Rattus norvegicus: one gene and its partner. The protein of the gene in region 2 purifies or fractionates together with the protein of the main gene of each other region. This does not show direct contact. Links are inferred from orthologs where the notes say so. Each region holds a gene or a part of one and is shown on either strand. Other genes may lie near its edges.

The links. The genes of interacting proteins can lie anywhere in the genome.
Region 1: the proteins of Csnk2b (region 2) and Nkap purify together in Homo sapiens (co-immunoprecipitation; 3 studies listed by BioGRID and IntAct, counting the BioPlex papers as one, with this or other methods). This does not show direct contact. The link is inferred for Rattus norvegicus from reciprocal best matches to the Homo sapiens genes CSNK2B and NKAP.

The regions. Positions count from the first base shown.
Region 1 is NC_086039.1:121,252,123-121,255,769, reverse strand, and holds part of Nkap (NF-kappa-B-activating protein), read right to left. Parts: intron 2,887-3,647; coding exon 2,777-2,886; intron 2,688-2,776; coding exon 2,612-2,687; intron 1,289-2,611; coding exon 1,139-1,288; intron 1-1,138. UniProt on the Homo sapiens protein: Acts as a transcriptional repressor. Plays a role as a transcriptional corepressor of the Notch-mediated signaling required for T-cell development. Also involved in the TNF and IL-1 induced NF-kappa-B activation.
Region 2 is NC_086038.1:3,704,150-3,708,563, reverse strand, and holds the start of Csnk2b (casein kinase II subunit beta), read right to left. Parts: upstream 2,842-4,414; 5' UTR 2,723-2,841; intron 2,129-2,722; coding exon of another isoform or gene 2,118-2,128; coding exon 2,046-2,117; intron 1,466-2,045; coding exon 1,363-1,465; intron 528-1,362; coding exon 412-527; intron 66-411; coding exon 1-65. Other genes in the region: Gpank1 (G patch domain and ankyrin repeat-containing protein 1), read left to right, coding at 3,760-3,796. UniProt on the Homo sapiens protein: Regulatory subunit of casein kinase II/CK2.

The DNA.
Region 1 (3,647 bases), on a different chromosome or scaffold from region 2:
AGCCAGAAGAGGGCTTCAGATTCCCTGGGAATAGAGTTACAGGCATGTGGGTGCTGGGAGTTAAACCTGGGTCCTCTAAAAGAGCAGCCAGTGCTCTAAACCAGTGGGCCGTCACTCCAGTCTCTTAATGTTTCTTCATGGCTTATAGTTTTCCCTGTGGAGGTCTGGGGATTTATAATGTTAGGATTTATTTCCAAATCATTCATATTCTCTGATAAATGTTTAATTGTATTAATATATATTAAAGAAGTGTTATTTTCTGTTTTCTAGTTGCCTGTTGCTGAGATGTAGAAACAACTGGTTTTGTAATGACTCTATGCAATCATTTGTTAAGCTCCTGAAGATCTCAATCACAAAAATGACGACGTTGAACCCTCCTTACTGATCTTTATGTCTCTAGTGATTTGTCCTTGTCATACTGTGTCATCCTCAAAAGTGACGTTAGTTTTAAGACATCGAAGACTCTGGAGATACCTCAGAGGTTCAACATATATTTGTCTCTGGTACCAATTCAAAGCGGTTAACTATTTTAATAGATAGTTTGTAATCTTAAAGAACCCACAATTCATGTGACTTTAGTATTGCTGCCCTTACTCTCCCTGAGAAGTATTTTGTGATTCTTCTACAGTTTTATTTCCTCATGCTGAATCTGACATCTTTCATGATCCTTAACTGATATTCATTCCAGAAATTCTAGGTCTCTGAGAACTGAAAACGAACTCAGAAATCAAGAAAGATTATCTTATGAAATTGTTTTCCTCACTACTGGAATCCTATATGCCCCTATGACAGATGGCTGAACTTAAATTATATTTACCAGGGTAAAAAACTAAAACTGGAAACTATTGATTCATTACATCTGGATATACAGAGTTTGAGGCTTTATATATAATTGAAACTTATCCGGGTATGTTTTTTCTCATGAGACTAGTATTTTGTGTGTGTGTGTGTGTGTGTGTGTGTGTGTGTGTGTGTGTGAGAGAGAGAGAGAGAGAGAGAGAGAGAGAGAGAGAGAGGCACATACTCTATTTTCCACTAGGAAATAGTCAGTGAAAACAGATCACCAAAATATAATTGTAGTAGTAAGAGAGAAGAAAAAGAGCTAATCATAAAAATTGACTCAGTGGTAAGAAAGTACCTGCTGCCGCTCATTACATAACCGGAACATTCGAATGATGCGATCTCTTCACTTGTTAAGCCGATTTCACCTCTTCTCGGGATACGCTTGCCAGCTTTTACATATTCAGCCATAGCTGCACCTTCACCAGGTAACAGGGCGTGGCCATAGCTACAGAGGAATCCAGAATTCAAAAAAGGTTCATCAAACTAGCTCCATAGGAAAATGACAGCACACAATCTTTTCCCTCAAACAGTAGTAAGAATAACAGTGTTGTGCTTTATGTGAATTTCTTAATTTTTACTAGGGGACACTGTACTACAGCCTATATCACTGACCGAGAAATGTATAAATAATTTAGAAGAACAAAAGAACCGATGTTCACAAGTATAAATTCATACTTTATAACAGTGGATTAATTCACCAGGTATAGCTAGCCAGTACTGTTTCTACCCTTGGCTCATTCACTTAAAAAAAAAACCTCAGATAAATAATACATCTCAAAATAACTTGTAACAAACAATAACATCATAAGAATTATCTTTTGGCTTTGATTAAAAGAAACTTTAAGAGCAGTTCGGTGATGTTTTCTTGTATTCCAATTAAGCTTAAAGCTTATACCACAAAAGTAATCTCTATACTTATGAAGTTTACATATTTACTACACTGTAGGTTAAACATAATTAGTATTTTGTATGGGCCGCCAAGAAGGCTCACAGGGTAAAGGCATTTATGTACCGTCAAGTCTGCAGAGCTGAGTGTACTCCTTGGTACCCATATGGGAGAAGGAGATGAACCAACTCCTAAACATTAGCTGTCCTCTGACCTTCATGCCTTCCCCTCGCCCATACAGAAGAAATACACAAACTAATAAACCCTTTAAAAATCACGTTATATAAAGACACAGGAAATGCTGTGAGGACTAAAGATGGCGAGAAATCACAAGGCCTTGCAGAGAAGCATATACTGTTGCTTCTGCAAAGGAGCCTTGAAGGAGAGCTAAAGATCTTCTTTTGATTTTGTAGAAACAGGGTCTCTCATAGCCCAGGTTGCCTTAAGATCACAAAGTAGCCTACAACGATTCCTGAATTCCCTGCCTCCTCCTTCCAAATCCTGGGATCACAGGCATAAGAACCACACTGAGCTAAAGAAAGTGCTTTAGAGAGATGGAGAGATGACTCAGTGGTTAGGAGCACTGACTGCTCTTCCAGAGGTCCTGAGTTCAATTCCCAGCAACCACATGGTGGCTCACAACCATCTGTAATGAGATCTGATGCCCTCTTCTGGTGAGTCTGAAGACAGCTACAGTGTACTTATATATAATAAATAATTTTTTTAAAAAGTGCTTTGGATCTTGCAAATCCACTGCTACTAGCTGAGGGCACAGTTCAGCAGCAGAGTGCTAACCTACACGAGCACACTCAGCAGAAAACAAAACTAATAACCCACAACAAAGAAAACCACAAAACTCCATAACCGTACACCTCTACTCACTTCAAGGGCTTATCATCTTGGGAGGCAAGTGTTTTGGGAGCCTCTGGGCCAATCAGATCTGATGGTTCTTCTGTCTCTGCATGAAATAGATTAAGAAACACATTCACATCTTGACTAATCAGTTAATGTTTCAACTGTTTTGAGTTAGTCAATACAAGAGCCTACTTGATCGATCCTTCCACGGATTCTCTAGAAATTCTTCTTGGGACTCTTTAGAGCTTGAATCACTGGACTCCTTTCTGTTTTTCTTAGACTTCTTTTTCTTGTATTTCTTCCTGCAAGGGTTATAATGTATTACAAATTAAGTATTCTCATGTTAAAAAGCATCCATTCTCATGTTAAAAAGAATTACAGTTGTGAGCTGCCGGGTAGTTGCGGGGGAATTAAACCCAGGTTCTCTGGAAAAATAACCAGTGTTCTCAACCACTGAGCCATCTCTCCAGCCCCAGGTATCCTCAGTTTTCATGGGAATGAAAAGGTTAATAAAATTATCAGAATTCCTAGCTTATTCAAACTTTTTGATTTAATCTTCTCAGTTAACCAAATAGTATTTTGCTATTAACAAGAAATGATTAGGAACTGGAGAGATGGTTCATTGGTTAGGAACACTGACTGCTCTTACAGAGATCCTGAGTTCAATTTCCAGCAACCACATGGTGGCTCACAAACATCTGTATTGAGATCTGATGCCCTCTTCTGGTGTGTCTGAAGTCAGCTACAGTGTACTCAAAAATAAAATACAAATAAATCTTTAAGAAAAAAGAAATGACTAAAGAATCAATGAAATACATTTATTATAGAGAAAGTAAATGGAAATGAATTAGCTTAAAACCTAACTCTCAGGTAGGAGGTGGTAGCTTATACCTGAAATCTCAGCACTTAGGAGCTAGAATTAAGAGTCCAAGCCATCTTATGTTGTCCAGTGAGCTTGAGGCCAGCCTGTGGTATACAAGACTCTATCTCAAAAACAAACATTGTGGCTAGAGAGATGATTCAACAACCATGAGTGCTTGATGCTCTTCCAGAGGACTAGAGT
Region 2 (4,414 bases):
ATCGGCTGGTTCTCACAGTATACTCGAGGACAGTAGCCAAAGTCTCCTTGCTGGTACTTTTCCAACTGACATGTATAAAACAGAAGGGAGTGGTCGGTGAGTGCGTAGGCAATCTCAACGCACTCCCGGTTCCCCCACGCCTCCCGAGTCTGACTAGAAGCCCCTTCTGTGGAGACAGGCCCTCCAACCCCTCAGGTGCTTTTCCTTCGTGGGGCCGGCTGCAGAGCACAGGGCTGTTTGCCATGTGTCCCCTGCAAACTCCTTTTTCTGGTTTCATCTCCCTTCCTGAAAACACCACCTTCAATGGGACCCTCAGTGGCCCTGCCCTGGGCATCTCCCTCTCTCCTCTTCCCCAGCCTCTGACTCATGCACCCTTCCCCTCCTGTAGAAGTAGCAGGAGCAGAGCCTCACCATTTGTGCAATGCCCCGGTTGGTGAGGATGTAGCGGGCGTGGATCAACCCATAGAGCATCTCGGCCGCCTGCTCAATCAAGTCACTCTGGTTGGGGTTGTCTTCCAGCTCTTCATCTGAAATGTGGGGCGGCCACTTGTTTAGCTTCCCTAGGTATCCCTACCTTACCTGCAGTACCTGTTCCTAAGCTCGCCCTACCCACCATCCATGCATCTGACCCAGAAACCTGGGCTCCTGACTCCTCTACAAGGTCAAGACCCTCAGCGCAGCCTCTCTGTATGCCTTAGTCTCTGCCTAAGTCCCTCTCTCCTTCCACAGTAAGTAAATGTAAACACACAACCACAGAGGTGGCCCTCGAGGGCAGCAGAGGGAAAGAGGCAGCACACCAGGCCCAAGAGGAAATCACCATTACAAAACAGCCGAGCTGCTTTCAGAGAGCATCAAGACCAGGCAAGGAATCAAAACAGTGGAGAAGTTAAGCACTGCTGTGTGCCTCTCTCCAGCATGGAAAGCTAGGGCAGGACAGCACGTGGTAAAGTCCAGTTTGGGTTATGAATGGAGGGGCTAGAGGTGGGGGAGGAAACACAGGAGCAAGCGAGAATCAAAAGGAAATTTAGAAATTCAAGAAGCAAGCCAGTCTGTGATTCCAGCACTCAGGAGGCAGAGGCAGACAGATCTCTGTGAGTTCGAGGACAGCCTGGTCTACAGACTGAGTTCTAGGACCGACAAGGCTACCCAGGAAAATCCTGTCTCCACTACCCCTCTCCCCGCAAAAAACAAAACAAAACAAAAACAAACAAACAAACAAACAAACAAACAAAAAAACCCCAACATCAACAAATTCAAGAAGCAAGCAAGCAGAGAGCAGAAGAGAACGGAAACAAAGCACCCACAAGTGCACTCTATCACCAACCCCACAGTCAGCAACAACCCAGGACACACGTTAGTTACCAGGTTCCAGGTCCAAGATCATGTCTAGGGCTTGTCGATAGTGAGGCACCTGCTCATTGAGTCCAGTAAGATTAAATTTGTCCTGGATGTAGTCTTCATCCACCTACAGGGGAGTCAAGGGGTTCAAACCAGTATAGAAAGGCCCGTCATCTTCCCACCTGGGCCCAGGAGATAGTCTTTCCTCAGCCAAGCCACCTCTCATGTTTCCTAGTCCCAGTTCTGCAGAAGTACTCAAGTTTCATAAAAACTGCAGCTCTTTTCTTTAAGGCAAACCAGATCCAGCACACAAAGACATTATTCAGCTTCTGTCCCTCATTTTACAAATTGCATGTGCCCTCTTCTTGGGGACAGCAGACTCCTGAGCTGAAGACCTCGGAATCATGAAGGTCAAGTAGTTTAGTTTCTGAAAGGTATTTATAATTTTCTACCTTAGCACACCGTGCTTTGCACGTTACACAACTTTGACATGAGAGGTTTTAACTGCCCTAATGGTCACCAGAGACACCTCTGTTAGCCATGCATATTGACAAACCCTCACAATACTAGCACTCAGGAGGCGGCCGGTAGGATTGCCAGGAGTTCAAGGCCAGTCTAGTCTGCATAGTGAGCTCGATCGAAATCTGCTCTCAAACGACGTAAAATCAAACATCGAGGGCATGTGGAGTTGGCCGACCTAAACTCACCTCACAGAAGAATTCATTACCACGGAGCCCACAGAACCAGGAAATCCAGGACACCTCCTCAGAGCTACTCATCTTTATGTCCGCTGAGAAAGAAGAGCCTAAGTAAGTGGAGACCAAGCTGTTTCTGGTCTCTTCCCTCCTCCCACACGTTCTCCACAACGACGGATGAATCCGAGTCCAGCCGGGCTTAAAGGATCCCGGCCTCTGAAGCATCTCCAAGCTCCTCTCCTTTAGCTCGGCCCCCCCTTACAGTGTGCTGAGAACGAGTTCCGCTACTTTCCAGAAAATGACAGGTCCTGATCTGTTAGTGTTACCCCCGTCCCTGGCGCTCCTCACGGCCAGGCCCCTCTCCCCTCCATGTCAGCCGCGACAGGGCCCTCGGCTCGGGCTCCCCACCACCGCAGGTGCCTGCATATTCCTGGCGCCTGTCCCAAAGCTCCCGAAGTTCATTTTACCCAACAGAATCGGCCTCTCCTGCCCTCGCAGGGTTGGCGAGGGCACCACACTTCCGTGGGACTCACGAGCGTCCCCACAAGCCGCCTCCTCTCCCCAGGCCCCCCGACCTCCTTCGGCTACCGACCCGGTCACTTCCTTCGTCGCCCCCACATCGAGGAGCACCGACCCGAGTGCCGCGCCCAGGGACCGGCGACTGGGCGCGGAGACAACCCCACACTCACCGGCCGGACGGGGACTGGGACTGGGGCGGGGAAGGGGAGCTGTGCTTCCAAGGAACGGCAGAGACCGCTACAGCGCAAAAAGCCGACCCGGCCGCGGCAGACGAAGTGGGGAGGGGGGGACTGGAAACTGGTGAGGGTTTAGGGGTTGGGGGGGAGAAGAGAGCAACGCGCAGGCGCTAAGGACCGCCCCCCTACCTCCGTGGACGCCGGGAGATGTAGTCCCGTCAGGAGAGAGAAACTGACGAAATGAAGGGAAGGCAAACTACCAATCCCAGGAGGACCCGCGCATGACTCTAGGGCCGCGAGGCCCTAGAGGAAGCCGCCCGGGGGCGGGGCGAACGGAGCGCCACCGGAAGCGGAAGCCTAGCACGGAGTCTTCTCGACCAGGAAGCCTGGGAAATATAGTCTTAGGAGGCTGGCTAGACTACGGGGCTAGCGCCCGGGGTGATTGTCATCCCTACGGTGCTCTCTCGGCGTTGCGCTTTAGTTTTTCTCCCTCCTCCCCGTGCCAGGCCAACCCACTGGACCCTGGCTCTCCTGCCAGGCCCGCGACAGAGCGCGCTCGGGCTCCGGCATGCGCAGAGGTGTGGTGAGGGACTTAGGTCGGGTGTGCTTAGGACGCGCTGAGCTGTGCATACGGCGTGAGAATCTAGACCGCCCTGCGCGCTAACCTGAGGTGGGGCCAGCCATTCTGCCGCTCGTCCCTTTGTACTTCTCCATTTCCTCAGAGCTTGATGGAGCGTCCTGCTGCGGACCCTAACTGTTCTTCAAACCCTGCTCAGAGTAGTGGTGAGGGGTGCCGTGATGTTACTTCATCTCACAGCTCCTCGGCATTCCACAGGTCTCCCCCTCTGTGTCCTCAGAGTCTTTCTGAACGCAGAGGGTGGCCTCCCAGCTCCAGGAAAGGAGCTTGGTGCTGGAGGGACCAGGGCGAGGGTGGCGAAGAGCATTGTGGGGGCGTTATGTAAAAGCAGGACCCCAACCGACAGGTTCCCCCTTGGGTCCTCGCGCTCCTGGGCACGCGATGCTTTACACGGATGCTTGGAAAGGTTCCAGCGCGGGAAACTGAACCTTGTGGGTGTTTTGTTGTTGTTGCTGGTGCGCATGCGTCATGGCTCCCTGTAGCTCTGATTGTATCAACTCTTAGAGATTATGAGAGCGCCATTTTGCGGTACGGAAATGACAGTGCAGCGTCTTTCCCCGAAAGCTTCCGGAATAATGTCACGCCTGTTTTTTATCTGGGAAAAGGAGACCCCCCCTAGATAAGATCGAGCAAGATTTAAAAGGCTGAACTGATATTTTCAAACGGTATGTGTTAGAGGACAGGAAAAATGATTTCAGAGAGAGCCTGGCATTTTTGTAGGAAGATGGGAGTTGAACGCAGGACCCCTAGACCCCTATTCTTGTGGAATATTTTTCCTGTTATCCTTTTTCTTTTCTGTGTTAGAGATAGAACCTAGAATTCTCAAATTCGGGGCGAGCATTCTACCCAGAGACATAGGTACCTACCATGCCCTCCTGAAATTATATTAACATTGTGGCAGGATCAGTTATTCCTGGGTTACATTTTATCCATGAGCCCTGGGCTCTACAGAATCCTAGGTATGAAGTCAGTGTGGGGATGGAAGGTCCATTTTAGTTGTAGGCTGCTGGGCCCCTGGAGGTGGTGCTGGTCTTCACAAGAGCTACCTG